Regions from separate parts of the Mus musculus genome. Here all the other regions are reported to be linked to region 1. Evidence: microRNA targets listed by miRTarBase, many of them from high-throughput screens and not tested one by one. Region 1 holds a microRNA gene; each other region holds the end of a gene's coding sequence.
The links. The annotated mature microRNA mmu-miR-9-5p reads UCUUUGGUUAUCUAGCUGUAUGA and lies in region 1 at 2,382-2,404, shown strand. An mRNA with a match to its seed (bases 2 to 7 or 8) in the 3' UTR can be bound and repressed. Matches are read on the target gene's strand: a 7mer-m8 pairs with bases 2 to 8, a 7mer-A1 pairs with bases 2 to 7 and ends in A, and an 8mer does both.

Region 2: the mRNA of Ccn2 is a reported target of mmu-miR-9-5p. Seed matches in the 3' UTR shown: 7mer-m8 at 4,649-4,655.
Region 3: the mRNA of Rnf128 is a reported target of mmu-miR-9-5p. Seed matches in the 3' UTR shown: 7mer-m8 at 3,407-3,413.
Region 4: the mRNA of Erg is a reported target of mmu-miR-9-5p. Seed matches in the 3' UTR shown: 8mer at 824-831, 8mer at 1,144-1,151, 7mer-m8 at 1,731-1,737 and 7mer-A1 at 2,129-2,135.
Region 5: miRTarBase lists Sacm1l as a target of mmu-miR-9-5p. Seed matches in the 3' UTR shown: 7mer-A1 at 2,288-2,294.
Region 6: miRTarBase lists Atf1 as a target of mmu-miR-9-5p. Seed matches in the 3' UTR shown: 7mer-m8 at 3,623-3,629.

Annotation. Positions count from the first base shown.
Region 1 is chr7:79,502,898-79,507,993 of GRCm38, forward strand. It overlaps Mir9-3 (microRNA 9-3), which reads left to right and starts at 2,367; the gene lies at 2,367-2,456. All of the region lies in intron 1 of Mir9-3hg (Mir9-3 host gene), which reads left to right. It overlaps Gm51285 (predicted gene, 51285), which reads right to left and starts at 2,439; the gene lies at 2,382-2,439.
Region 2 is chr10:24,597,307-24,602,402 of GRCm38, reverse strand. It overlaps Ccn2 (cellular communication network factor 2), which reads right to left. Exons shown (of 5, transcript NM_010217.2): 5 at 3,720-5,088. The coding sequence ends at 4,792. Among named protein-coding and RNA genes, the nearest start is that of Gm15270, 4.1 kb to the right of the region's middle.
Region 3 is chrX:139,671,208-139,676,303 of GRCm38, reverse strand. Rnf128 (ring finger protein 128) reads right to left here. Exons shown (of 7, transcript NM_023270.5): 7 at 3,159-4,569. The coding sequence ends at 4,436. It also overlaps the pseudogene Gm6322. Among named protein-coding and RNA genes, the nearest start is that of Tbc1d8b, 11 kb to the left of the region's middle.
Region 4 is chr16:95,356,392-95,361,487 of GRCm38, reverse strand. Erg (ETS transcription factor) reads left to right here. Exons shown (of 11, transcript NM_133659.3): 11 at 162-2,319. The coding sequence ends at 682. Among named protein-coding and RNA genes, the nearest start is that of Gm31641, 99 kb to the right of the region's middle.
Region 5 is chr9:123,590,056-123,595,151 of GRCm38, forward strand. Sacm1l (SAC1 suppressor of actin mutations 1-like (yeast)) reads left to right here. Exons shown (of 20, transcript NM_030692.5): 20 at 746-2,545. The coding sequence ends at 882. It overlaps Slc6a20b (solute carrier family 6 (neurotransmitter transporter), member 20B), which reads right to left. Exons shown (of 11, transcript NM_011731.4): 11 at 3,768-5,087. The coding sequence ends at 4,938. Among named protein-coding and RNA genes, the nearest start is that of Slc6a20b, 40 kb to the right of the region's middle.
Region 6 is chr15:100,259,317-100,264,412 of GRCm38, reverse strand. It overlaps Atf1 (activating transcription factor 1), which reads right to left. Exons shown (of 7, transcript NM_007497.3): 7 at 3,165-4,598. The coding sequence ends at 4,454. Among named protein-coding and RNA genes, the nearest start is that of Tmprss12, 19 kb to the left of the region's middle.

The DNA of each region.
Region 1 (5,096 bases):
CCTTACCTGAACAGAAAGCAAAATCAAGCTTTTTAGTCTTTCTCCCAGACTCCTAACCAGCCCTAGGCTCTCAGGCCAGGGCTCCAGCGTGCTATAACCATGAACCTCACAGCCGAGGAGCCATTTTGTGCAGCGTCCTGCTTAAATCACACTCTGAGAACGCTCCTTCTCTCTTTCCCCTCTCTCCTGCTCCCCACTCCCCCTCTTTCTTCTCCCTCCCCCTCTTTCAGGTGAATCGTGCTTGCACAGTTCCCTCTGCCTCTTCAGTTCCACCCATCCAAGCTCAGGGTGGCCCAGAAGGACTAGAGCGCAGGAGGCCGCCCACACTGACAGACACACAGCTAAATGGAAGAGGGTGTAGATTCCAGAGGCTGTAGGAGGAGAAGAAAGGGACACCTCCTAATTATGAAAAATCCTTTAGAATTAACCAGGCAGGCCCAAATTCGAGGTTCCTTCCTGGGCCTTGCTGTCGGTAGGTCGGCCCCTCTGTTTCTCTGATGCTTTTCAGTCTAGCCTGTGTCCTTTTTCTGAGACAAGGATTTGTCTGTGAGGTGGCATTTGGAAAGAGGTGTGTAACTGCTAGCTGGCTTGCTCACTGGCTGACAGGGATGGCAGTGGGGATGCAGCCCACCTTGGATTTGGGGTCAAGATAAAAAATAGGACGAATCTAAAACAAGCACGGGGTACAGAGGTGTGGTGCCAAAGCCTGGTATTAAACAAAAAAAATCCAGATGTGTCATTTAAGGGAGACTGCTTTAGATACCTTTAGAAAAATTCCCTGATCCCTTCCAAATCACCCACTTTGGGCCTATTCTTTGAACCCAGCCTTATGGGATTTGCTGATGGAGAGTGTGTAAGGGGTGCCCCCCCCCCCGCCTCACCAAAACAGATCTGAATGAGTACCCCCACCAAATCTGGGCTGCTTTGGGGATGCCTTAGCACAGAGAGTCTTTGGGACTCCCTCATAGTCACTGCTGGAATCCTGGAACCCGCTACCCCCCACCCCCACTCTATTGTTAAGTCAATCTCTAGATCTTGGATTTAAGATCTTTCTAGGGATGACTGGGGGGGGGGGAAGGAGATATCGAATTTTTCATATTTAATCCTTTGCCTCCCAGGAATGGGTGAAGGGGGTGAATCAGGGCTCATAGTGGGAGGGGTGTACAGGAGCAAGGAAGACAGGATGGGTTTCAGGTGAGCAACCTCTAAACCACCACGTTTAGGAGACTGAGACGGGACTTCAGTTTGGTGGCCAGGCTCAATTCTACTGTGAAACCTCAAAATGTCAATTCTTTTGCCCTGTAAAGTCACTTGGAGTAAGTGGGCTAGGGTGTGCTGTGAGCAGAAAGATGGCAGGAGCTGATTATTTTTATGGGAGGTGAATAGGAGCCCAATTACGGCCTTGGATATCTTTAAGGCGCAGGGGCACAATTGATTACATATCCTTGGCTGTACTAGGAATGGTCAGAGGGAAAGGGCTAACAATCTGGTGCCGACATTTAGGACCTGGTTTGAGCGAAGCATGCCATGGGAATCCCTACAAGTCAGGCAATATATATGGGATACATTGATCTAGACACCCACTCCTTCCCTTAATCCCCAGTCTCTACCGCGGTGTCTGTACAGTGCTGGGCAAGAAAAAAAAGGAAGAGAGACCTTAAGGATAAAGTGACCGGTTCGCAGCCTCTCCTGCGCTCACTTGGTTGCCTTGGAGAGACCTCGACCTTAAACCTCTTCCCTCAAACTCTAACTCTGGTGGTCTGCGGTGGCTGCCAGGCACCTAAGACGTTGCTGGGAGGTCAGAGAGGTTTGAGAGAAAGGCCAGACTGTGTGCATCCAAGCAAGCAGGCCTAAGGCTTCTGAGGGCAGAAGAGGCGCTCCCCTGTCCTCGCGGCGCAGAAGCCGTGAACGCCGAGGCCATTGTAAGGCTGGGTGGTGCCGAGCGCGGGAAGGGGGCTGGGATTTGAATGGAAGCCCGTGATAGGCCGATCCCCCGACTGACGTCACTTCCCCGCGGGGCGATTAGCCTGCGAGAGGAGGGCTGATGGTCCAGTGCGCTGGGGGCCGCCAGGGCGCCCGAGGCTGCCCAAGCGCAGAGCGCCGGTTACCCGAGTGCGCCCCGGGACGGCGTCGAAGCGGGCCGCGCACGCACTGGACGGGGAACTGGGGATGGAGAAATCGCGAGGGCGAGGGAGGAAGGGAGCTGGGCGATCCGGGTGGCGGGAGTCCGTGTGTCTGTGTGTCTGTCGGTCCCCTCTGGCTCTCCGCGTGCGCCCGGGGCTGCGGGAGCGGAGTCCGCTCAGGCCCCCGCGCCGGGTCGGCGGCGGCACGTGGGGCCCACAGCGCGGCAGCGGTGCCGGCGAATGGGAGGCCCGTTTCTCTCTTTGGTTATCTAGCTGTATGAGTGCCACAGAGCCGTCATAAAGCTAGATAACCGAAAGTAGAAATGACTCTCACAACTTCTGCGTGCGATGGCCCGGCCGGCCGCCCTGGCCACAGGAGCCAGAGGAGCCCAGAGAAGCCCACGCCACCCAGGGATTCCAGCTCGACGGAGCGGCCACGCCGGGACCAGGTATCCGACCTCGGCTCTCCTGGGGACACTTGCCGTGTCCTGGAGGCATTCCCTTCACCTCCTCCTCGGTCCCTGCACCCCCATCACCATTTCCCAGCGCCGAGGCTGGAACCCCGAAGTGGAGTGGGTTGGGGGCAGGGAACGGGCTGGGGTTGCAGAGGGGTCGCTGGCGGGGAAGGCGCCAGCCTTTGCCTTCACCCCATAAATCAGGCTAGAACAATCCACGCCCTGAGCTGCAGACTAGGATTTTGGGATGCAAATGCGATGAGAAAGAGAACGGAGAGAGGAAGGGAGAGAGGAAGGGAGAGAGAGAGGAAGGGGGAGAGAGAGAGAGAGAGAGAGAGAGAGAGAGAGAGAGAGAGAGAGAGAGAGAGAGGAGAGAGAGAGAGAGACCGGTAGGCAGTGTGTAGGGGGAGTAAAAGGGTGGGCAGGGGGCTGCCCTGCCGCTAACAATGCAGCCTTTATCGAATTATTCGACGAGTCAGCCCCTGAGCACCATTAGCATACGGCTGGGGGGTTGCTGGAGCTTCGCCCCTCGGTGAGGTCAAGTTCTTGATAATTTGATCACTTTTCACCGGCTCTGGCAGCTGCCTTTGTGTGCAGTTGGGGGGTCTGTGTGCAGCGTGAAGCGGAGCAGAACTGGCGGGGAGTGTACTCAATGGCAAGGGGCCTAGGCGGGGGGCCTCCCGCCCCGACCGACCGGCCCTGCCCTGCATACAAACCAAGAGCAGGCTGCTGGGCGGGAGAGACGTAGCCCAGATCCTCTAAACCTCTATAGTTCTGGTCGGACGGCTGGGGCCGGAGCCTCCCCAACTTCCCCAACTGGTTAAGGGGGAAGCCAGGCTCTCTGGAGCTCCTCTCCTTCCCGCCCCAATAAATGGCAACATAAGATGTATTACAATGTCTAGCAAATAAAAAAGCAATTGGGGGAAAAAATCTGAATTCCGTTCCCATGGCAACCCAATGCTGCACACCGGCCACTCAAGCTCCAGGTCCCTCTTAGCTGGGCGCTGCGAGTGGGGCGTGCCAATGTTCTGTGTCCGTGGTTCTTAGCCCCACAAGGAGCGGAAGGTCCCTTTGAGGTTTCTCTGCCTTCAGGTCCCTCTCCTTCCTGCCACTCCCTTTACTCTTTCCTTATCTTGAAGTTTGGGGCCCCCTGCAACTTAGGAAACCATTAGGGCTCCCGCGTGGTGGATGTAGACCCAGCTATGGACCCTATCAAGTGTAGGGAAGAAAGGATCCAAAGTCAGTTCACATACCTTAAGGCTTGGGGTCTTTTGGGGTTCTTTAAGGCACATATCAGTGTATACATGCTTTAGCAGATTGACTGGGAAGGATTAGTGCTACCATCCTGACTTGACCCGCTTTCTTTTCCTTGAACATATTAAGGAAGCAGATCTGGGGGGTGAGGGCCTACTCCTTAGGGAGTAGCACACACAGCGCAGAAGTGCAGAGGTGGGCACTACCTAGGTCACCTTACCTCCATCTTGGCCCAGTTCAATCCCAAGAGCCTCTTGCCTTAGTTATTTATAAGATTGGTCTCTCAGCCTCTATCCAGAACCTGCCCAGCCCCCTTGTGATAATAGAAATCTTTTTCCATCTTTGTGCCTACCAGCCGTTCCTCCCCCCCCCCCACACCCTTTGCTTAGCAAAATTATCTTAACAACAAAAAGGTGACTTGTGTAAAAGTAAAAATAAATTCAGTGATACAAAGGAGAACCTCCTGGGTCTGGGGAGGGGCAAGGTGTGGCTTCCATACGGTAGATGGAGAGTTTTTCACTGCATTGCCTTGGAATGTTAGACAAAATTAAACGCGGTGGCAGGAAAGCAGCTGTCTCTGTGCCTCCTTCTCAGGGACTCATTGGGTGGAAGGAAGGGGTTCGAGGTCCTTTCATCTTTTCCTTCCCGTTTCTTAGGCCTGTGAAGGGTCACTCGCGTGTTTGAGGACCCAGGAGCCTCCCTCCCCCCAACTGCATCTACTGGGCTTGCTCCCCCTTCCTGGTGCACCTGGGAGCCTGTGTGCTGGTGGTGACCTCATTTCTGAGGAAAGCAGAGCAGCTCTCTCAGCCTGCTTGCCCAGCACTCCCTGCCTCCACGTCTCACGGATGGGCTGGGGCTTCCCCAGAGCCTGCCCCGGTACTCAGAGCCTTCTCTTCCCTGGCCCCTCTCCTTTGCTATTTTTGTAAGAGCCAGTCCTTCCTACACCAAGGTGGTCACATAGCTTCACGACTGTGTCTTAGGTGTAGTTCAAATGTGTGTCGCCTTTGGTTCTTTTGCCGTCCAGGCAGGCTGGAGTCCCCCCATTAGGAGTCCCATGGAGGTAGAGTCCTAGCCTGAGACAGTGCAGGACTTTTACTGCTTTCTATGAAGGGGGAAATCTGCTGATACAAACCTTGCACTTTAGGGAAAAGATGAGGGCCTCAAGGGAGGAGGTGGTGGTGGTGGTGATGGAATGGGTCTGCTGATTCTGATTCACAGAGTTTATCTCACACCCACCACAAAAGGTTTTCAGGGGTGCCAGCCC
Region 2 (5,096 bases), not on the chromosome of region 1:
CTACTCTTCTGCCAAGAGGCTCTTCCCTATGTAATGCAGCCTTGAATTATATTTTGGATTATATTATAATATTTTTATTACATTTTGGTTATCTGCCTTTTTCACCTTTTGTCCTCTTGGCTGCTGTACCTGATTCCCCCTCCCCCACCTCTCCCGTCTTCCCTCTTATTTTCCCCTCTCCTCGAATGGCTCAGGGTCAGGCTCACTCTGGGCTCTCCCAGATGCCCTCCCCTTTTATCTACAATAAACCTTCTTCTCTACCATACCTAGGAGCAGTCATATCCTTTCTTTTTTCCATTCATCAGGTGCCAAAACCAGAAGGTAGGGTATGCTAGCCAGAAGGACCCCGTAACAGGTAAGGACTGAGGGATTCTGGGCAAAGCTGGCAGGCAGCCAAGTCCACTTTGTTATATTAAATAGCACATCAGTCATTTGTCTTGGGTTTGAGGCCTAACAACAGAATCTAGATTCATCAAGACAACTGCCATAGTTTCAATTGTCAACTTGGCATACCAGGGAAGGGGGAACGTCACCTGAAGAGTGTCCTCCATTGCATTGGCCTGTGAGCATATTGTTGGGGGGATTGCTTGATAACTAGTTGATCTAAGAGGGCCCAGACTCTGTGGGTGGTACCACCTCTGGGCAGTAGGTCTGGGCTGTGTAGGAAAGAGAGATGAACAAGCCCAGGGACACAAGTAAAGTCAACCCCATTCCACATGGTCTCTGCTCAAGTTCCTGCCTCCAGGCACCTGTCTTGATCCCCTGCCTCCACTTCCTTCGATGATAGGGCCATATACTGTAAGCAGAAATAAACTTTGTCCAGCCAACTTGTTTTCGGTCAGTGTTTTGTTAGAACCAAAGAAAGAAGAGTGGAACAACAGGCCTCTGGGTGTGTTTGAGAGAGGTTTTCTAGATGGGGTTAAATGAGATGGGACGATCCACCTCAGGTGTGGGCAGGACTGTTGCATGGGATATGGTCTGGTCCTAGAATGAATAAACACAAATGTGCTAGCTGACCGCTCTAGCATTCATCTCTCACTGAATCTCCTATCAGCTTCACTACTGCACTCTGCCCCCACTCCCTAGACTGTGACCTTCAACTGTAAGTCACAATAAACCCTTTCTGTTTTCCTCCTTTTCTTCTTTCCTTCCTTCCTTCCTTCCTTCCTTCCTTCCTTCCTTCCTTCCTTCCTTCTGTCCTCCTTCCATCCTTCCTTCCTTCCTTCCTTCCTTCCTTCCTTCCGTCCGTCCTTCCTTCCATCCTTCCTTCCTTCCTTCCTTCCTTCCTTCCTTCCTTCCTTCCTTCCTTCTGTCCTTCCTTCCATCCATCCTTCCGTCCTTCCTTCCTTCCTTCCTTCCATCCTTCCTTCCTTCCTTCCTTCCTTCCTTCCATCCTTCCTTCCTTCCTTCCTTCCTTCCTTCCGTCCTTCCTTCCTTCCTTCCTTCCTTCCTTCCTTCCTTCCTTCTGTCCTTCCTTCCTTCCTTCCATCCATCCTTCCGTCCTTCCTTCCTTCCTTCCTTCCATCCTTCCTTCCTTCCTTCCTTCCTTCCTTCCTTCCATCCTTCCTTCCTTCCTTCCTTCCTTCCTTCCTTCCTTCCGTCCATCCTTCCGTCCTTCCTTCCTTCCTTCCTTCCTTCCATCCTTCCTTCCTTCCTTCCTTCCTTCCTTCCTTCCATCCTTCCTTCCTTCCTTCCTTCCGTCCGTCCGTCCTTCCTTCCTTCCTTCCTTCCTTCCTTCCTTCCTTCTGTCCTTCCTTCCATCCATCCTTCCGTCCTTCCTTCCTTCCTTCCTTCCATCCTTCCTTCCTTCCTTCCTTCCTTCCTTCCTTCCGTCCGTCCGTCCTTCCTTCCTTCCTTCCTTCCTTCCTTCCTTCCTTCCTTCCTTCCTTCTGTCCTTCCTTCCTTCCTTCCTTCTGTCCTTCCTTCCTTCCTTCCTTCCTTCCTTCCTTCCTTCCTTCCTTCCTCCTTCCTTCCTTCCTTCCTTCCTTCCTTCCTTCCTTCCTTCCTTCCTTCCTTCCTTCCGTTGCTTTGTCAAGCATTTTGCTACAGCAGCAAGACAAGGAAGTGCCCAAGTCTCCCAAGTTGCTGGGGTCACAGGCCCATGTCACAGGCTCAACTTCCTATTTGTACCTCAGTCTTCTCTCTCAATGTCTCTTGCCCTGACTGGCTCAATTTTGACTCAGTTCTTACGTGTTTGTATCTTGTCTCAGTAAGCAGCCCCAAATGTAAGTTGTACCGGAGGGGTATAACCCCCTACCCATGTCTACAACTGTTCTCAAATCAGCTGTAGTTCTAGCCAGCACTTGCTGCTTCCCTGAGATCTCTCTTGTTCTCAAAACATCACATGCTCCCCTCTTTTCCTTTTTCCCACGACCAACCGCTGACACAACTCAGGCCTTCGGGTGGTTGGCAATTTGTCTTCATTACTATCTCGGGGTCAAGGGTGTCTTGTCTTCTAATTTTGTTACATACTGCTCATGGGAGTTTGGTTATGCAATTTACTTACTGTTTCTGTGTGCAGAATTTGGAAACATCTCAAATCCCTTCTTCCTCCCTACAACTTTGTTTCCCCCCACAATTCTTTGATTCCTTTCAGGAGTTATGCTTTCTCCATGGCTCTTTATGATTGTGGCCGGACATCGGTTGACAGAGAAGAAAAGGGAGCTAGCAATGTACTGTTTGTGTACCCTGGGTGTGTTTATTTGGGGTATGGTTTATTTGAGGTAGCAGCTGCTGCTACCAGTGTTGCCATGTACCTGTGAGGGTGTACCCTAAAGCCCAGTGTTGTGACTAGAAATACTTTTCTCATGGGAAGTTTTTCATTTGGTTTGTGGTGTGGGCACTGTTTGTAGCATGTCTCTGCTTTCAGGTGTATTTTTGTCTCTCTGAGTGACTACAAGATTGCTAACCATCCCAGGGCAGGTTAGTCTGTCTGTGGTATGTTTTTCTCTGGAAACCACAGCTGTTCTCATCTAGGAAAAGAAAAATGTGTCTGGAGTGTTTGTGATTCTGTTTGTTTCACTGGCTAGTAACAGCCAGGTATATCTTATATCTTTTCTATATCAGGGTTCTTAAAGAATTTAATGTTGTCACCTATAAACCATTTTGGTAATGTGGGACAATAGTGTGGAATCACCTTCAAATAAAAACCATTTTCAATTAACATTAATCGATAGAAAATTGACTTGTGCTATCTTTATATTTGCCATGAGTTGTCATAGCAATAGAAAAATAAAATTTGTACAATAAAGCTTATAATCTGACTTAATTTTAATGTATATGTTAGTCTATGCTTCCCGTTTAACAGTGAGGCTTTCGAGTTCAGAACCAGAGCTACAGTGAAACACAAGCTAATATTTAAACATATTCTCCATGTAAGGCACAGATTAATCTGTGATGTGAAAGATTATAAATTAGCTTTAATGTCCAGATGTACCAAGCAGAAGTGGCTGAGTGAAGTATGCTGGGGGTTGGTGGAAGCTGGAGTCAGCTACACAGAGCTGAACTTAAAGCGTTCCTTGAACCATGTTAGACAGCTGATGCACATGTCTGCTTGATTCATTGTAAGGGATGCTACGCACAATCCTATTGATTTCGTGCGATTCATGCATATCAAAGGTATTTGTAAACTTCCTAGTGAATTACCTTAAGATAAATATGAACTTCTTGCTTACACCCGGGAAAACCAAGAAAAGTTTACAAGAATGAACAGCCAAGCCTTTCATATAAAAAATATATATATACTTTATTTTCAACTAGAAAGGTGCAAACATGTAACTTTTGGTCACACTCTCAACAAATAAACTGCCCCCCACCCCAAACCAGTCATAATCAAAGAAGCAGCAAGCACTTCCTGGTAGGAATCGGACCTTACCCTGAGCCAGCCATTTCTTAATAAAGGCCATTTGTTCACCAACAGGGATTTGACCACATTTCCTACTAGAAATCTGACTTCCAATACATAGCTTTATCACCTGCACAGCATTTGTTCTGACAGAGAGTCACTCAGGTCACAATTCCCACTGCAGTATCTCCTTTGTTTTGAATCACAGATAAGCTTCGTGTCCTACCTATGGTGTTTGGAGTTTGAGGCTATCAGTTTAAAATCCCAAAAGCACTTAAAACAAAAACAAATGACTTTAAATTAACTTAGATAACTGTACAAATATATATATATATATATATATATATATCCACAATATTTACAATATCAATAAAAATCTGGCTTGTTACAGGCAAACTTACTTGCCACAAGCTGTCCAGTCTAACAGACAAGGCTCTGACTCCTGACAAGTGTCACTGGAATCAGAATGGTCAGAGCTGAAACTGCTGTTCTTAAAGAACAGCTGGACTCAGCCTCATCTAGTGGAGGACACATGCTCAGCTCTCGCTAGAGCAGGTCTGTCTGCAAGCATGCTATAATTTCCCTCCCCGGTTACACTCCAAAAAGTAGGCACACTGCTGCTTTTAAAATAACCTCAGCTAGTACCTGTCTTTCTTTCTCCTGGCATCTCCACTGTTCCAGGAGACTCACCTCAGTGTGCATTCTGGCACTGTGCGCTAATGAACAACTGTCAAGTGTAAACTGTCTCGAAACCAGTGTCTGAGGTTGACAGACTACTTGTATGGCCATGACATAACGTTCTCACTTTGGTGGGATAGTTCCTCCCACGGTAGTTAAAAACACAGATTTAAATTAATGTGCTACTGTAATTGTTTTTACAGAAGAAAATGAGATGCAACTCAGTTCAAGTTATAGTCTAATGAGTTCGTGTCCCTTACTTCCTGGCTTTACGCCATGTCTCCGTACATCTTCCTGTAGTACAGGGACTCAAAGATGTCATTGTCCCCAGGACAGTTGTAATGGCAGGCACAGGTCTTGATGAACATCATATTCTTTTTCATGATCTCGCCATCGGGGCATTTGAACTCCACTGGCAGAGTGGTGGTTCTGTGCGGTGTGCAGCAGCGGCCGTCTGTGCACACCCCGCAGAACTTAGCCCTGTATGTCTTCACACTGGTGCAGCCAGAAAGCTCAAACTTGACAGGCTTGGCGATTTTAGGTGTCCGGATGCACTTTTTGCCCTTCTAAGGAA
Region 3 (5,096 bases), not on the chromosome of region 1:
AGGCACCTGAGGGCCCACTAAAGGGCATCCTGGGCTACTCTGAGGACCAGGTTGTCACCTGCAACTTCATAGCAACTCCCACTCTTCCACCTTTGATGCTGGGGTTGGCATTGCTCTCGATGACAACTTTGTAAAGCTTGTTTCCTGGTATGACAATGAATACAGCTACAGCAACAGGGTGGTGGACGTCATGGCCTACATGGCCTCCAAGGAGTAAGAAACCCTGGACCACCCACCCCAGCAAGGACACTGAGAGCAAGAGAGAGGCCCTTGGTTGCTGAGGAGTTCCTGTCTCAACTTGGCTCCAACACTGAACATCTCCCTCACAATTTCCATCCCAGACCCCCATAATAACAGGAGGGACTCAGGGAGCCTTCTCTACTCTCTTGAGTACCATCAATAAAAGTTTGCTGCACCTCCTTCACAAAAGTCTAGAGCAACTATTCCCACCTATAATCCCAGGGCTGGAGTGGAGGAACAGAGATGGGATTACTGGACTTTGCTGGTTGCCACCCTAGTTCTGGGTTCAATGAGAGACTTTGTCTCAAGGGAATGATAGAGCAGGACACCTGATGTCCTCCTCTAGCTTTTGTGCATGTCTTCATGCACATACAACACACACACACACACACACACACACACACACACACACCTGAAAGTTGAGTAATTCCTGAAGTAGCTTTGTTGGTAGAGGACGTCACTAGAGATCAAAGTGATGATCACAAACCTTAATTTCTTTTATTCTCATGTAATATTTTAATTAAATCTTTTGTTAGTTATTGTGCTTAAGGTGTAAAAATTAACTCCAGGGCTGGTGAGATAGCTCCGTGGGTAAGACCACCGACTGCTCTTCCAAAGGTCCCAAGTTCAAATCCCAGCAACCACATGGTGGCTCACAACCACCCATAATGAGATCTGACGCCCTCTTCTGGTGCGTTTGAAGACAGCTACAGTGAACTTATAATAATAAATAAATCTTTGGGCCAGAGCGAGTTGGGTTGACCAGAGCGAGCAGAGGTACTAAATTCAATTCCCAACAACCATATGAAGGCTCACAACCATCTATACAACTACAGTGTGTACTCATATACATAAAATAAATCTTTAAAAAAATTAACTCCAACCAAAAAAAAAATGAGCCAAGTAAATGATAAGAAATTTTACAGTCTGAGTTAATAATTCCGTAACAAAATATTTCACAAATAAACAATCCCTCTATATATGGAAGGGAGAAGACATGTTCCTAGGAGCTCAGTTGTGTCTGTTTATTACATTGTGAGGTAAATGTAGATTTTTTTAAAATATGAAACCCGAATTCTACTAAATATGAACTCATATGCCCCTATTTTTATGTTTATAACTTACCATACAAATATTATCTACTATCACTGATAAAAGAAGCAGCCTATGTAGTGACTATCAGGTTAGAGCATAATATAAATTCTGGTGCTTAAGCTAAAGTATATCAAATAGTAGTAGCAGGAAGTAATAAAATCCACAAGTGGCATGGAATCCCTCTCCTTTATATATACCAGGAAACGCCAAAATATACATCAAGATAATGATGTGCATATGAATGTGTGTGGTAGTATTATCCATAATGGCCAAAGTGGTGAAATACCCTAAGAATTCAGTCACTAATGAAAGTATAAACAAATGTCAGGTATTTGTATGGTGGAATATTACCCAACAATGGATAGGCATGAATTACTGAAATTATATTCTATGAGTGAACCTTGAAAATATTATGGTAAAGGGAATCTGATCACAAAACCTTTATTGAACAATTCTGTTTGTATGATATATCTAAAATAGACAAGCCTAGAGAGACAAAAGGCAGACTGGTAAATGCATGTGTGGGCTGGAAATGGGAACAGGAATTGACTATCAGTTGGTATGAGGGGATGCTTTTGGATAATGGAATAAGGACCTGAGTTCAAACCCCAGCACCTATGTTAACAAGCTGAGCATACATTCCCCAAACACTTGGAGCTCTACCTCTGGGAGGTCTAAAAGCCTTTTCTGGCCACTATGTACACCACCCTTCACTACATGTATGTATATACTCAGACATGTACACAAATAGTTTATTTTTTTCTAAGTTAAAAATATCTCTCTCGCCAGGCAGTGGTGGTGCATGCCTTTAATCCCAGCACTTGGGAGGCAGAGGCAGGCGGATTTCTGAGTTCAAGGCCAGCCCGGTCTACAGAGTGAGTTCCAGGACAGCCAGGGCTATACAGAGAAACCCCGTCGTGAAAAACCAAAAAAAAAAAAAAAAAAAAAACCTCTCTCCCCGAAACAGCATGCACGAGGCCTACATGGGTCTGCACTGTGTCCTCTGTACATATATTATAGCTTCCAATTTAGTACTGTAATGAGACTCCTGAATGTGTGAACGAGTGGGTTTCTGATAACTGTGCTTGTTCTTGGGGCTTTTATTTTTCTGTCAGATTGGCTTGTCCAAGTTCAGTATGATTTTGCTTTATATTTAATTTTGTTAAGATCTAAGTTCTTAGATGCAAAAAAAATACCTCTCTAAAAATAAGCCCCATGAACGTAAACTCCTTGAAAATACAGGGAATACTCACATTGCATGCATGTTGTCACATGCAATATGTTTACACTGATTTTGATCATCATGGTCCTGAGGTGATCCAAGTATCTGTATATTCTTAAAATGTTTAACACAAGAGAAGATAGGCTCTGATTCATAAACATTATCCCACCAATCATACAGTCACAAGAGAAAACTGGAAGAAAGCTTTAAAAGATTGAATCAATCCTCCTGTCATGAATGGCATGGATATAGGTTGCCGTCCAGACCTTTTATTTAACTCTTAGTTTTTTTTATTCACTTTACAGCCCCACTCCCTCCTCTCTTCCCCATACTTGGACTGCCTGGTTAGGCATAAAGAACTTTTAAGCATGCATTTTATTACTGATCGGCTTTATTATCTAGTTCACAGTCTGTTCAGTGAGATCAGAATGGCAGCTCTTCCCTTTCTGTGTAAGGTCATATGCAAGGATCACACTGGAGGTTCAGTCTATATTGATCACTATACCAACGACCATTTACACACAACTATTCTGCCCTCTCAACAGTCGATGTATTAGATACAAAAGTTAGCTAGCACATGAGAGCTAAATCGAACACCAGATACAATCTTTCATTGGAATATTTTATTTACATTTTATATTTAAAGAGAATCAGTACAAATCAGAGCATATTTACAGCATTTTCAAATCAGTGTACAAGAGTGCAATGGTTTCATCCATTATATAGTCAGCAAACAAAAATACACGTCTGTTCTATTTTTGTCTAAATCCTGTGGGAATTTGCACTGGGAACAAAACACAAGCCACACAAAGTAGAAATAAAGTGCGTCTTTTCAATAGCTCTATTTAACTTTGGTGGTTGAAGCTTCAAACTTTTTATTAAGGCACCTGGAATCCCCCCTTCCCTTGATTCTTTTTCAAACACCAACAAATGCAATCACAAAATTATAGATAGATGGACAGAATTTAAATTTCATGTAATTAGAGACCACAAGGCCAAATGTAAACTCAGTTTTCAAAGTCACCATTGTTTGGAAACTATTTTCCACATTTGACACATTTTACAGAATATTCTCTGCAGATGAATTCTGCACCGTAACCAGTTACCAATGTTCTACGATTTAGTTCAGCTATTACTATTTTCAAATTTGATGGTAGTTTCTATCCTGTGCTTTTGAAAACATCAAGCTTGAGAAATAGTTTAGAATGTTTTTGTAAGAAACTTTTTATGTCTATAATCTTGTGTGGTGTCACTAATATACTGATCAACCAATTCAGTTCATATTTTTCTGACAAACTATGCTCAACACTCACATGAAATACATACACAGCTTAATTTTAAAATGAAAAGGTTAAAATGAATATTTTGCTTTAATCTTGTACTATCAACTTAATGCCTAAGTTCGCATTGCTTTTTTTTTCTTTTTTTTTTTAAACAAATTCCAGATCAATATAAGCACCTGGAGACAAACCCCGACACACAGAGCCCAAGCTAAAGTAGTAGTATTGTTTAATTATGATACTATCATAAAACAAAGTGATTACAGCTACTCCACACTTTTAAAGCAACATATTTTTTTATAACAAAGTTGTTGTAAATGAAAAACCTGACTACTCATAGACGGTTCTGAATGTTAAAAATGTTGCTATCACTATCACCAAGAGGAAACTTGCCTATGAAAAACGTTATGGTGAGTTTGTGGAAAACGGTACTGGGGTAAATATGTTAAGCCATTTAACTATAGTATAATATAAGTTACCTCAGCACTTTCAGTATCATTCTTGTTTTACGTTTACCCAGTTCATTCATAGTAAACTAGGCCCTGATTGGCAGTCCTGTTGTTAACTAACGGTTCAAGTTTTCTATTGACACAGATTTTTAAGATTTAATCTCCCGAACAGCTGCCTCTTGATCAGGAGTTTCATCTTCTTCAAAGGTTGGGTTGTCAACATGGGGAACAACATCCACGGCCACAGAATTTGCTTCATGGTTTACCAGCTGTAGATTTTCATCTGGACACAGAAGTGAAGATGTTAGAATGATAGTACCTTTCTTTCCTTTCAAGGCAAGAAGTCTGCACTCATTTCCAAGAAGGCTTCCTTATTCAATGCCATCATATTCTGATGATTACTATGTGACTTTTTTTTAATCCAAGTGTAGGATGACCTCCTGTATTCATAGCATTCAGCAGGTAAGACACAAGAATTCTTCTACCTTCCAGGCTAGCCTTAGTTACACAGTACACTTCAGGTTGGCCTAGGCTACAGCATGAGATCCTATCTTGAAAAAAAAAAAGGAAATCTTAATTTATATTGTTTCCCTTAAGGCACTTTTGGCATTATTGATTTATGATTCCTGTTTTTTTATTTATGTTTGTGTGGTTACTTTTACCTAAATTATAAACGTACTAAGGGCAAAAGTTACATCTTTTGCGTTTTTTTCTTTTCTAAAAATATCAGGTCTTAAGCCTGGATGCACATTACTATCACTTGGGCTATTTGAACCTAACTGTATAGTAAATAGAATACATAACCATCCT
Region 4 (5,096 bases), not on the chromosome of region 1:
TCTCTAGATAAACGAGGAGCCAAGAGTCAAAAGTCACAACAGCCCAGGAGCAGAGAGATGGGGCTGGGGTTGAAGACCAGACCTGGTCAGGAGGTCTATCATTGAGGACTGAACCTTCTGTCCTTGGTTCTGATTGGCTTTGTGTCCCTCCTGATCATTAGGTAGTGGCCAGATCCAGCTGTGGCAGTTCCTGCTCGAACTCCTGTCAGACAGCTCCAACTCCAACTGCATCACCTGGGAAGGCACCAACGGGGAGTTCAAGATGACAGACCCGGACGAGGTGGCTCGGCGCTGGGGGGAGAGGAAGAGCAAGCCCAACATGAACTATGACAAGCTCAGCCGCGCCCTCCGCTACTACTACGACAAAAACATCATGACCAAGGTGCACGGGAAGCGCTACGCCTACAAGTTTGACTTCCACGGGATTGCCCAGGCCCTGCAGCCCCACCCTCCTGAGTCGTCCCTGTACAAGTACCCCTCCGACCTGCCATACATGGGCTCCTATCACGCCCACCCCCAGAAGATGAACTTTGTGTCTCCCCACCCTCCCGCTCTCCCAGTCACATCTTCCAGTTTCTTTGCTTCCCCGAACCCATACTGGAATTCACCGACTGGGGGCATCTACCCGAACACTAGGCTCCCAGCCAGCCATATGCCCTCTCACCTGGGCACCTACTACTAGAGACCAGATGGAGGCCTTTCCCAACAGTGTACAATCGCCTAGCAGTCGCCACAAACTCAGCGAACACAAATCAAAAGTGCCTCGTGAGGAGTGGAAACGGTTGGCCAGAGCTGGGGAAGGAAGCTGGGGGGGGAAAAAAAAACCAAAGACTCGCAGGGGAGGGTGGGTGCCACCCAAGTATTACTACAGAAATAGAAGAAGCTCAAAATATACTGTACATGGACATATAACCTGTGGTCCACCCTTGTCAAAGACATTGTATGTAGAAAAGCTTGACCAAAAAGAACAACTGCCCAAGGAAGTGGCCTTAAGTAGTGTACAAACTGTAGAGTGTGGGACCTTGCTTGACCTACCAGGATTGAGTGAAAGCAATAGAACAGGAACAGACTTGGCCTAACACACCATGTATGATGTCATTTGAAGGGAAACTACCTGTGTTTAAAAATAGAAACCATGTCAAAACCAAAGAAGAAGCAGACAAAAACAGAGATGGCGGGCCCCTCCACAGACCACAATGGCTGTGGACTTTCTTGGCTGGCATTTGCTTGTTTTCTTTGAAATCAGATTCGTTCCATTTGATAGAGAGCTGCCAGCTCTGTCAAACTGTGAAGATGACCCAGGGTCTCATCTCCTTTTCAGTATTATGGGAAATGTGAGCCATGTGGTGGGTGGGGGCTGTGCATGTTGTTGGGAGTATGAGATTGTAGGAGAGAAGCTGAAATGGAGGAAGTAGAGGAAGGGCTGGGGGAGGGAGTGAAGGAGGAGGGAAAGGAGAAGGGGGAAAGGTGGAGGGGGAGAGGAGGAGGAGGGAGAGGAGAAGGGGGAGAGGTGGAGGGGGAGAGAAGGAGGAGGGAGAGGAGGAGGAAGAAGAGGAGAGAGAGGAAGGGGAGAGAAGGAGGAGGGAGAGGAGGAGGAAGAAGAGGAGAGAGAGGAAGGGGAGAGAAGGAGGAGGGAGAGGGAGAGGAGGAGGAAGAGGGAGAAGAGGAGGAAAGGAAAGGATAGAAGGCAGCTGCTCAAGCCACCACAGCTGAATTTAGGGCACCTTGGGACCAAAGGGCATGAGTTGAGAGATGTTTGATGCTGTCAGTGTTGTAAGGACACAGATTTGTGGAGGACTGGGAGCAGTAGTATTCAGAACCAAAAATATGTCTCTTTGTGAAAAGGAAATCATAACTGGAATTGTCTGATATTTTTTAACAAAAATTCAGAACCTCAGCACTCGGTGGAGGCTTTTGTCCTTCCCGGGAGCAGTCGAGAGGTGACCTTGGTAGCCACCATGGTCAGAGACCACACAGGCATTGTGGGTAGGTGGGCTCCAGTTTTCCTTAATGAGTCGCGAACGCTGTGCGTTCGTCAGAACGAAGTCTACAAGTCAATGGGTTTTTTCTTTTTATATAATAATTATATAACTTATGCATTTATACACTACGAGTTGACCTCGGCCAGCCAAAGACACACCACACACAAACAAACACACACACACACACACACACACACACAAGAGACAATCAAAACATATGATGTGGCCTTGAATTTTAACTCTGTAATGCTTAATGTTTACAATATGAAGTTACTAGTTCTTAGAATGCAGAATGTATGTTAATAAAATGAGCTTGGCCTCTCACGGCGAACCAGAACGGTGGTAGTCTCCGTTTGTGCTTCTTTGCTGATGAACAGTTGTCTAGCAGAAACTTCGCCGACTCTTAGGGGTTTGTGTTACAGTCTTAGTTTGTCCAAGAATGTGAACAGATGGCCGTCATACAGATGTACTGTTACCCAAGCACACAAGCAGCATGGGCCTCCTGACTCCCACGAGCTCCTTGCTCTCTCATTTTCACCCAATATGGAAAGAACACAGGTTTCTCCTAAGGGCCTCCATGATTGCTCTGAGCAGGTAAAGAGACCTCCACAGCTGAGGCTGTCACTAAGGAGTTCTATTCTGCACTGGTCACCCGGCTTATTGTCATGATCATGCGATTCTTGATGAGTGATAAACAAGCCATTGTTAAGCCAAATTTTGTCATCATGATCGGTACATCAGTCGCAGAGAACTGCAGTTTCTTGTTAAAAAGCATCAGGGGAGCCCAGGAGATGGCTCAGTGACTGCAGCTCTTGCTTGCAAGCATGAGGACCTGAGACTGATCTCTAGACGCTTTGTAAAAGTCAGGTACAGTGGCCCACCCTTGTAATCCCATCTCAGCGAACGGCAGATTCACAGATCCCTGGAACTCACTGGCCAGTTAGCCTAGCGTGCTCTGTGAGGTTCCAGGACAGTGGGAAACCTTGTCTCAAAAAAGTTATTTATTCTCTGACCCCTTAGGTCAGACCCATAGGCATGTGTGCACCCACATACAGAAATACATATACACGTGAATACACACGTGTGCACATGTGTGCATCCACTACATATGCACGCACGCGCACACATGCACACGCTCACCCACACATGCATATGCGCGTGTACACACACGCACACACATGTGTATACACACATACACACGCACACACGCACAAACACACGCATGCACAGTAAAGCCCTGAGGTACAGCTTCTGAGCTTACCACTCCTCATTCTGAGGACTCCCCCAGCGGATGCTCTGGCCTTACACCCTGGAGTCCTCATTTCTGGAGTGGCCTTCCCAGCTCTCCTTCATACACACTTTATTGTCTATGATCTCACATCAATTTTTCTAGACATCTCTTGTCTTCATGTCACAAAGGCTACCCACCTGGGCCTAGGTGCTATGGCGGTCCACCTTCTGAGAGCAGCAAGCCAAGGCCTGACTCAAGCCTAAGCCAGAGTCAGGTTTTTAAATGGGCTGTTTCATGTCATAGCAGTTTCAGGACTCGGTTTGCACTTTGTAATCCCTTCGCTATGATTCAGTGCACTCGCCAGTCCCCTGCGCTGTGCATTTTGGCAACAGTCTGTGAACTCCGTAGGGTGTGATTACCAAAGCTTCAGGCGACCTCATTGCAGGATGGAGAGGAGTCCAGATGTCAGTCATTCTGCAGCAGCTGTGGGAAGGCCCGTTGATGGTCTGCATCTCCTTAGGAGAAAAGAGAGCAGAGCACCAGTGTTGGCTGCTAGGGTAGGGATAGAGCAGCCATGTGGTCCTGGGGCCAAGCCACGTGGTCCTGGGATGGGAGAGCTACAGGTCCTGGGGGGGGGAGCCATTTGGTCCTCAAGGGGAGCCATGTGGTCCTGGGGGGAGCCATCTGGTGGTGGTGGGAGAAGCCATGTGGTTCTGGGATGGGGGAGCCACGTGGTCCTGAGGGGAACCATGTGGTCCTTGGGGGGAACTACGTGGTCCTGGAATGGGGAGTCATGTGGCCCTGGGAGGGAGTCATGTGGTCGTGGGAGTAGGAGAAGCCATGTGGTTCTGGGATGAGGAAGCCATATGGTCTAGAGGGAGCCACATGGTCCAGGGGGAGCCATGTTCTGGGGATAGCCATGTGGTCCTGGGGATAGAGGTGAGATGAGAGATTTAGTTTTGCTGTGCAGAGCTGGGAGCACCTACGTTCTTTGTGTAATGTACAAATTCATTTGGGTAATCACTCAATTCCCCACACCCCCTTGGAGACCGCACTGTTAGTGAAATAATAGAAGCAAGACACAGCCCTTAGATTCAATCCTAACATATGTTCTCAGTTAGGTCCCTCACAGCCCTCCCCTCAGTCCCCTGCACACTTGGGCTGGTAGCAATCCCCAGGAGTAGCCTGAGAAACTGCATAATTTTGAGATAACACAGTATTTCTGGTTCTCTGGAATAGGTGAGTCTTCAACCCAAGTTGAACTAATGGTCAAGGTCAAGGTCTGGGTCTGTGCTAATCAGTCTCCAAGGCCTTCTATGGGGCTTTGCTCTATCTCCCCTCCCCTCACTGTCTCTCCGTCTTCTTCGGGATGTCCCTTGTATGAAGGCCACCTTCTGGCAAGCCATGTCATCAAGGACCTTTGGGACTCTACTGGATGCGATCCCCAGTCTCAATCAAGACTTGACTGACCCTCATCCCACCCCATCGTTGCATCTTGGAAGGTTCCAGATGACATCTTGTTGGGCTCTGTGTCCCTTTGAGTACCCATCTAAATGACTGACATTGATTCGCCTACCCCTTGGAAGCCAGATCCCAAAGAGCTTGGCCTCGAGGATAGGTGCTGTGAGCATGGCGGAGTTCTGCAAGCTGGGGAGGGAACTGTAACCATTGAAGCACAGCAGAGCTGGGGCCAAGATAATGCTGCAGCTGTGCAAAGAGCAAGGTGAGTTCTGTAAATACCAGGTTAGAGAAATACCACAGACTGTAAGTGCGGCTGGCTGGCAGAGGCTGGTCACCCGGGTTGAGGGTTATAGTCTTTTCGTCTGGCTGCCATATGACTGTGATGGAGCCACTATCCTGCTCCCTCACTCCGACAATTAGAA
Region 5 (5,096 bases), not on the chromosome of region 1:
CCGAATTCTATGGATAGTGTCCTGTCAGTTAATGCTTGCAGATAGGGGTTGCTGATTTCCAGCCCTTGCTGTGTTTTTCAGGAGGGAACGTAGATGCATCACAGCCTCTGACGTGGTCTGGCTTCTTTTCCTTGAACGATCTTATTGGCCATTTGACTCTGCATGTGTTTTTCCACACTTGAGGCAGGTGCAGGAGAAAAGTGAGCAGAGGCTTAGCTGTTCAAAGAGAAAAACGAAATAGGTCTTTGCTTCATGGGTGCTGCTAACCTTTATGAACTCAACCAGCAGTGTTGTGTTAAATGCTGTTGTAATATGTTATGATTGAGTTGAGTTTAAAAATATACATTCTGTAAAGTGTGTCTTGTATAGGTGTTTTGATAATATTGCATTGATTGTAGAACTATGATTAAATTGTTAGTAGTAATTTCTTGTGCTACTAAAGCATTTAATCGCAATGATAATTATGATTTGTGTGGTAGTCTGAAGTAGTGCAGTTCCCACAGTGTGGCATCTGTCGGTAGCCTCAGTATTGCTGGGACCCTGTCACAGAGGCAACAACTTCTTAAGGTACCACAGATGATGGTTTACCGAGCCTGCAGAATTGAGACACCTGGTTTAAAACTTAAGATGTTCTATTTTTCCTGTGGACATGCTAATAAACTTCAGTGTGAAGTTGTGCTATACAACTGATCACTAGGTCTGGTATCAACAAATGATGTATTATCTTTGTTTTTAATATCAACAGGTGACACTTGGACAGAAACACTGGCATATGTCCTCTTCTGGGGAGTTGCAAGCATTGGAACATTTTTTATTATTCTTTACAATGGCAAAGATTTTGTTGATGCTCCCAGACTGGTCCAGAAAGAAAAGATAGACTGAATTTGTGTTTGTGGAAAGCGGCTTGGCTTGGAAGACTCCATGATGCAGAACTGGAGTCTTTACTGACCTGCTTTCCACGTGAGCCCAAGGTCTTCTTAAAGCCTTTATCCAAAAGTACCTCCTGTGGTTTTGGGCTGGGTGATGTCTTAGAATTGATCTGATATTACCGCTTTGATGATCTCGTTACCGTTGGGATGGTTATATTTATGATTTGAAGCTATAGTATAATTAAAATGTAGCTTAAATTCAGCTCACAGAACAGAAGAAATCTATTCACTGTCAAGTCAGAATTCACAGATAAGTAATATATTTTAAAAAATTTAACTTCTTTCACATTATTTAAAACAAATTATTTTTCTAGCTCTGTTTCATTATTGCCATTGTAAAGCAGTCACTGTTAGCAAGCATATTTTCCATGTATCTTTGGGCTTTTCTTAAGAGTTTAATAATATGCAAATTCTACTATGCTTATAGAGTGTCTCTTAAAGGTCAAGCAGTTTGCTAAATTGTAATTTCACAATTGTAAGGAAGAGGAGAATGGGATCTAGAGTCATTTGAAGTTTCTAGTAGCTGCCTCTTGGCTTCAGCCAGCTTGAGCTGCTGTAGTGCCCGAGCAGCTTATATGTCATGAAAAGTTCAGATATAGTTTATCTTTTTTAAAAGGTATAAATGAAATCAAAGAATGTAAAGTCTGTCTCTTATGCTAAAGGTCCAAAGTCGCCTCTTTTTAAGAACTGCTCCATTGTGGGAAATACACTAGACTGGCCAGCTGCTTCCTCTCCTAGCTTGTAGGATTTTTTATTATTGGTTCCTCATTGAGACATGCAGGCCTCAGAGAAGGTCTTGTACTAGATTTGATTCTCACTTGGGGTAGCAGTTGCTTTTCCATGCATGGCACTCTGGCTCTATCACCCTGTCAAGGTTTATGTTGGCTGTCAATAAGTGTCTGAAATTTAGTGCTTCCAGGTAGCCATAGTTCTCCAAATCAAGGACCAACTTTAATTTATGCATAAAACAGACTGAAAACTACGCTTCAGAAGCTGTGCATAGTTGTAAGACAGGTTCTAGATTAAAATTGTAATTATGAGGTTTAGATATTAGAACAGTATATAAGGTAGTATCATTGCACTATCTTAAAACAATTCAGTTAAACACTGCTATGGTACATCAGTGTTTTGCTTTAAAATATGTAGGTTTTCTAATAGTACCTTATGTTATCCATAAATATTTCTAAAAGCGCCTTTAACATTACCTTTTTTCAACATTATCTTTTATAAACAATAAGGGTTATTGCTTTTAGGAACTCTGGGGAAATTCTGTGTAGCTTAAAATCAGTCATTAAAACTCACAATAGAGTAAGTAAATAGAGCCACCTGTTCTGACATGTAAATAAGCATAGTTTGTTCCAAAGATGGAACATTGAAGCCCAGCTGTGTCTACTGTAATATATTACTCAAAAGCTACTGGGCGTTTTACAGTAAGCACTTCATGTCAACAGCTACAGCAAACACCAAATCTGAACCACTAGTGTGGCTGCTTCGCAAGGACTAATGTCAGAGGGTTAGGCTGCAAGTGATCAGTGTTTGACAGCCCTGCAGTGATCTTCTTTAACTCATTTACTGTACATCCATATGCAAAAATAAAATGCCATATTCTTTTCTAACCGCTGTTGGTACTGTTTCTCTGTTTTTATCGTGTTTTTTTTTTAATCTTAAAGCAGTGTTTGATCATTATAGAAATACTAGTCACTACAAGTAAACAAGGTAAATAACTTCTAAACTGTTTTCCAGTAATCACCTTAGACACTTTTTATAGCTTTGTTTTTTTATAGATAAGGCTAAGGCAACATTTAGTAATATATAACATTTAGTGATGTTTAATATCCATAAAATTATCTGTACTTTCAAATTATAATTTGTTTCAAAGAGATACAGGTTGCAGGGTGATAAGGAAGTATGGGTGAGTAATTGCTACAGATTGTAACCAATGAATGGGAAAATAGTATGTATTTTCTTCTGTGCTCGCTTCCAAGGACAAGTTTTGACAGTTGTCACTTCAGGTCTCATTCTATCCATGATCAATTTTGGGTAATAGACTGAGAGGTCAGCCTGGTATGTGATGTCAAGTGACCTTTAAATCTCAATGACTGTTTTTTGTTTTTAATTTATAAGATTTCTCCTCCTTCCTGTGTACCCTGCAGAGTTGGCTGCTTTTCTGCTCCCTAGCTATACTTTGGCTCTCACAACAGTGACGCTAACTTCTCTTGGGACACTCTCAGTTTTCCTGACAGAAAGAAGCCTTTGCTCAGAAATGACACAATTTTCCTGTAGTACTCATTTTGGACAAGTCTAGGGCAGTGTGAGTTGAAAATCAAAACTCTGATTCTCAATTTAGAGTTGAACTGTGCACACACATCAATATGTGTGTGCGTGCTCAAAGAGTCCCAGCTAGATCCCGGTATGACAGGTAACTGTAAGGTTGAATTTGCTCCTGGCATCTTCACATCACCTCATAGACCTAAAAACTTAAACTGATCTAACAGCTACCATTCTGTAACATGTGGGTATCTTGTCAGCAAGAACCAGATTGCAAAGTCCCAGTCTTAAGACTTAGAGAATCAATCACTATCTTCAACCTTTAAAGCCGGTATCCATTGATGGAAAAAAGGCTACACATGATCTTCAGGGCTGGCACTGGGAGGAAGGTCTTCACACTTAATTTTTTTTTTTTTTTTTTTTTTTTTTGTTTTTCAAGACAGGGTTTCTCTGTATAACCCTGGCTGTCCTGGACCTCACTTTGTAGACCAGGCTGGTCTCGAACTCAGAAATCCACCTGCCTCTGCCTCCCGAGTGCTGGGATTAAAGGCGTGCACCACCACACCCGGCTTCCACACTTAATTTTTAATAAAATGTATTGTATTTGAGGTTCACAACATAGTTATAAGAAGTTACGTAATAAATGTGTAGTATACCAGGGCATTACTACGTCATCCCACACAGTTGTTCTTAATAGTAAAATCAGATTTAGTTAAAAAAAATCCTAACAGTTTTGTGTTGCATATAGCACTCCAGGTTTTTCCCCCACATCTCTATTTTGTATTGTTTGGTCTACAGCTCATTTTCCCCTTCTCTATTAGCAAGAGTCTAGTCACATATAAAGGAATATCCATTAGATTGTAAAAAATGGATTTATCTGTACATTCAGACTACTAAAAGAAAGAAACCTGTCAGTCAAGAATACAATATGCTTCAAGAAATACTGGATGGGTGAAGTAAGAGAGTGTTTGAACCCAGGCTGGCATCGGCTGCTCCCTCCCCATTTACCCACCCCCTCTGCAAAGGAATGGTTTAAACAAAAACAAAAGGATAATTAATGTTCTAAAACGTATATACCTGGCCTGGTGGCACATGACCTGTTGTGCTAGTATGGGGAGGCTATGGCTAGAAGATCACAGATTCTAGCCTAACCTGGAATGCATAGGTCCAGACCAACCTGAGGTCCATATATACCAAGACTCTACCTCAACCAAAAAAAGCAATGTTAGAGGTAAATTTGTGGTCTAGCATATCATGACTGTAGTAGTGGTGTGTAAAGAATGAGAGCTAAAGATCAAAATGATCAAAAATTATATCTATTATGAGCTATATAATACAAATGGTATAAATTTTAACAACAAAAGTATACGTCATGGAAGAGGAGGAATAAAAGCTGTTGGGAAGTGGTGGTGCACACCTTTATTCCCAGCACTTGGGATGCACGTAGATCTGAGTTCAACGTCAGTCTGATCTACAGAGTGAGTTCCAGGACAGCCAGGGCTACACAGAGAAACCCTGTCTTGAAAACAAAAACAAAAGGGTAAAAGCCTCAGCATTTATGGTCAGAGTTAGGTTTCTGTCAGCCTACAATTTAATACAGAGAATTTAATTTTCCTTGCAGATTCAGGAAGCAGAAAATACTTGTGGCTTTAAAAAGCAGCTGTAGACCTCCCACTGCTGGATATATAGGGAGTGGCTGTGAAACAGTGACTGACAGGAAGTCTGTGGGACCTCCAGTTCTCAGGCTGCAGAAAACTGTTCTCTGATCTTGAAGTGGCGTGTGACAAAAGTCCCCAGGGCTACCAGAGGGATGCACATGGTGGAGGAGGCTACCAGAAGCCCAATGACAGCTAGTGCGTATGTAGGATAATCCTTAGTCACCACGTGGCCCTGCAAAAA
Region 6 (5,096 bases), not on the chromosome of region 1:
ACCAAAGGCTCATCTTGCCTTTACCTTATTTGTTCTAAATATTTTGCAACCAATATTAAAGGTCAGTCTGCAGTGGATCGCCACTGGCATCTAGTTACTTCTAATTGTTATGCATTGGTAAAATGAAAGGACCCACTGACTAGCGAATAGAAGGGTCCAGATCCGGTTCTAATCTGGGGAAGGGGCTCGGTTTGTGTTTTTTCACGAGATAAAGATAGAGCGCGGTGGCTGCCAGAGAGATTAATTCGTCAGATGAACACAGATTCTGACTCTTCTTATAAGTATCACCTTGAGGACTAAAATTCCTCTTTTGCTTACTATTCAGCTGGAAACTAAAGCTCCCAGGAAAGCTGTTTTCCTGCTACTCTCTGAGCCAGTTCCCCGACAGGAGGCCAGAGACTAGCCTTAGCTTTACAATTTGCAACTGAATAAAGTACCTGAGCTTCCCCAAAAGCAGCTTTGTGATGTTACTCTTCACTCTCTAAGATTTTTGTCTTTCAAGCAGGTTTCAGGCTGGGGAAGGGGAGACTACAAGTGTGTTTTTCAAACATGAACTTGCTGTTGAGCCCAGGCTGGCCTGGGACTCATGCCTTAGCCCCAGGACTGGAATTACACCATCTCTATGAATATATGTAGTGAACATACACACATTGCATAGGCACACTAAACTCAAGTAGCTGCCTCCCTGTGGGGAAGAAATCCTAAGAAAGGGTCTGTGGGGCCTCCTGTATGCATTCTCCTCTTCGTGTCACCTGTCCTGGGTAGTACACACTTTTCCTGCTTTATGACATTTTCATATGTTCTTGTGCATACATGCATGACACGATGCACATGTAAGAGTCAGAGAACTTCTGGGAGTTCATTTCATCCTTCCACTGTGTGACCATACTTGCGATGTCAGGCCTGGCACAAGTGCCTTTACCGGCTGAGCCACCCCATGGTCTGTATTATCTTCTACATACTAGTGTTTAGGTTTGTAGAGTGTGATTTTAAAGGAGAGTTGCCACCTAGTGGACACACTTAAATAGAACCTTTAAAAATCTTACCTACTAGGTTTTTAAACTATTTTCAGACAAGGACCAGAACCTTTCTGCTTTTTTTTTTTTTCTCAAAAGCCTTTCTAGCTCCAAACCATTGGTGAGAAGACACATTTGGAATGACCAAGAACACCCATTTTGGGTTTGACCCAACCTAGAATTTAACATCACTTTTGTTATTTACTGTGTAGCTTCAGGGAGAGTATCATGTTTTTCTGTATCTACATGAATTTGTATTCACACCTTTATCAAACATGAGGAATCCTTTTAATTTTTAAAAAAGATTTTATTATATGTGAGTACACTGTAGCTATACTTACAGAAGTAAGAGGGCATTGGATCTCACTACAGATGGCTGTGAGCCACCATGTGGCTGCTGGGAACTGAACTCAGGACCTCTGGAAGAGCAGTCAGTGTTCTTAACCACTGAGCCATCTCTCCAGCCCCATGAAGAATTTTCTTGATGGAGCTATAAAAGAAGTGCCTCACTGGAGTTTACTAAAGGTATGTACCAGGGTGAAGGTAGGATTGCTCTGTTTTTTAAAATAAATTTAATACTGTCTGTGGATGTGTGTGAATGCAGGTGCATGCCAGATGGCTGTGGTCAGAGGACAACTTTTGGGAGTCAGCCTTTTCCTTCAGCTCTGGAGATGCAATTCATGGGGTTAATGGTTTACTGAATGGTTAAACTCATTTGAGATGTGTGGCCTCAAGTAACAGGCTCAAACTCTTTTTCAGATAGGGTTTCTTCTCTATGTAGCCCTGGCTATCCTAGAATGTGCTTTGTAGACCAGCCTGGCCTTGAACTCAGAGATCTACCTTGCTCTTCCTCCTGGGTGCTGACATTAAAGGTGTAAGTCATCTTGCTAGAGAGATGGCTCAGCTGTTACGAGCACTGGCTGCTCTTCCAGAGGACCCAGATCAACTTCCAGCACCCACACGGCAGCTCACAACTTGTCTGTAACTCTGGTCCCAGAGGATTCTGACATCCTCAGACAGACAGATGCACAGGCGAAACACCAATGCACATACAATTAAAAAGTGTGTGTCGCCACACCCAGCCTGGTCTTAAATTCTTGGTCCTCCTGTTTCAGGCTCTTGGTCTCAACTGAGATCCCAGGTGTGCACCACACGCTACAGTGGGTTAACCACTGCTTCAATCCCAGCTTTTATGCCCTGGACTCTTTAGCCTGGTGGACAGAGTGCCTTGCATGTGCGTTAGAGTGAGACCAAGTCTTACTTTATAGCGTATTACTTGTTTAGATCTGCTCTGCGTCCTGACTGCCTCCTTAGCCCTCAGGCATTACTCTCTGGTGCTAACTTTGTGGCACTTTTTTTTTTGTTTGTTTGTTTGTTTTTCAAGACAGGGTTTCTCTGTGTAGCCCTGGCTATCCTGGAACTCACTCTGTAGACCAGGCTGGCCTCGAACTCAGAAATTCACCTGCCTCTGCCTCCCAAGTGCTGGGATTAAATAAAGGCGTGCGTCACCATACCCCGCTTCTTTGTGGCACTTCCTGGGAATGTGAACCACCATCACCGCAACTCACTGACAATTCTAAGTCAGAATGCATCTATCTACCATTCCGTGAGCAAGGAATGCCTACCTATTCTTCCTCTTTGCTTAAAAATCATCACAAAATCATTTACTGGCCTGGGAAGCTGCTTCACTGTAGAGTGCTGGTCTGGCCAAGTGTGAGGTTCAACACAGAAAGAACAAAATGGAACTGACCTGAGAAGCCTTACATGTGGCTACACTGGCTTACAAAGGACAGGGGAATGTGGAACACCCTGATCACGTAGGCTGATGGGCAACCAATTAAATGAAAGTAAGGAATAGCCTTTGTGCTCCAACTGATGAACCCTCCTTGGGGTCCACTGCAGACTGACGAGGTGACTGACCACTGGTGTGAGGTCCCAGGGCTCCACAGAACAGCAACTTCCCTGTTCACTCTAACTGGTTCTTCCTGAATCAGAGCACAAGTGCACCCTACTGAAAAGCACACTCAGACCCCAGGCTTAGAATCTGGCTGCACTTTAAGGCTAAAAATTCCTCAGTGAGTATCTCACACAGTGGCTGCTGGTGGGCTTGGCAGTTGTTATATCAAACATGTTTTGCATTCCGAAAACTTAATCTTATCAAATGTTTTTTAATTTCACAGACAATATGAAACATACTCTGTAGGTACACAACAGTTCTGCAGTTTCCAAGTGAACACAGATTAGAATACAGAGGTTAAATGCTGGTGTACTGACCACAGCTGAAACTTTAGATAAAACTTTATATAAAACATACAATTCAATTATCAGCCAATTTGAAAATTTTACTCTTCTCATAATATAAAAATGATACTTTGAGATACAAAATTTTTTTTGCTAAACAAACTATATAAACATTTAAAATAATCATTAAAAACTCAACATTAGAATTTATAAAGATTCACTATAAAAATATATCGGCAGTCACTTCTTTTATAAAGGTACCATGGGCTACATTACACAATAGTCTCAATGTAAGATTGCCTCAGTAACTGTTTTAGAACCTGACAAACCTTACGGTAAGATGATTATAAAACCCCTCAGGAAAGCTTTGGTGTGCATATTCAGGTTATTTAAAACATTTGAGGGCCTTTGTAAACACTTCATTCTGTTAAAGCGCAAGAGAATGATCTTCAACTGCACACAGGATTAGAGAATCAAAAAACAAAAAAAACAAAACCAATCTATTATGTACTTGCCCTTATCAGAGGAAGCAAAAAACAAACTATTAAACTGTCAAACTTGCAGACAGTTCTCTTTCCATTCTGACAAAGCAAAGTCACAAACCACCTCCACCACAGGCTGATGTGTCTCCACGCCATTTAGGAGATCTCCAAACCAATCGAGTCCAACCAAACTAACTGCTAAAAACTCATTTAACATACCTGACATTACGACACAATCAGACCACATAATTTACATACTTAGTAACGCTTTATGCTTTTACATTTGTAAATTTATTGGCAGAAATGAGGCACGCACGCACACACACACACACACACACACACACACACACACACACACACACACACACACACACACGCGCGCACACACACAAAGGCAAGTTTTAGGGAACAGAGAAATACAGACGTAGCAGGAACGGACTGCTTCACTAACGTCGCCTGCCATTTTCGTTGCTGACCATTATTTCTATTTAAACTGCTGAAAGTCCATTCCTTGAGCACTCTATCTTTTCGGAGCTTCCAATTGAGACAGTAGCTTCCTGCAGGTCATCTCCATTCTCCCTCCATCATGTCTGTTTGTGAAAACCTAATACAAAGTAGCTTCTTTGACCTTTGAATTTATAGAACTCCACTAAAAAGAAATCCACCTAATTTTTAAGCTTTAAAGTCCACAAAAAATACTTTCTCTTTAAAGAATCAAACACTTTTATGAGAATAAAGGTCCTTCAAAGTCTTTAGCTCCTCTATTAGAGTTTTATTTTGATTTTCCAGAACAGCAACACGGTTCTCCAGGCACTTCACGTACTCCTTCTTCTTCCGGCGGCACTCTCGGGCAGCTTCTCTAAACACAATGGACAGAACACATCAGGAAAATGCAGCACCCTTCAAGTGGAAAATTTCCCCCACTATTCCTGACTCTGTTTAGTGAACATCATCTTATTGTATAGTTCAAGTTGGCCTCAAATCTGCAATCCTCCTGCCTCATCCTCTCTTTCTCAATGCTGGGTTTATAATCACATGCTACTACCTCCAACCCCCATTTGATAAATTATCACCTAAGGGGCTGGAGAAGAGTAATGGGGCTCAGGGGTTAAGGACACCTGCTGCTCTTGCAAAGGACCCAAGTTCAGTTCCCAGCACCCATGTTAGGTGTAACTATAGTTTCGGGGTTATCAGACATTTCTGGCTTTCCTGGGTACTTGCACACACCCACATATAATTTAGAAGGACAATTTCCTTTAGACAAGGCTGGCCCTTCCCTCAGCCTTGCCAGGATTCTATGTGTGAGCTACCGTTCCTGGTCAATGCATAGATCTGGAGTGTGGAGATCTATCAGCTC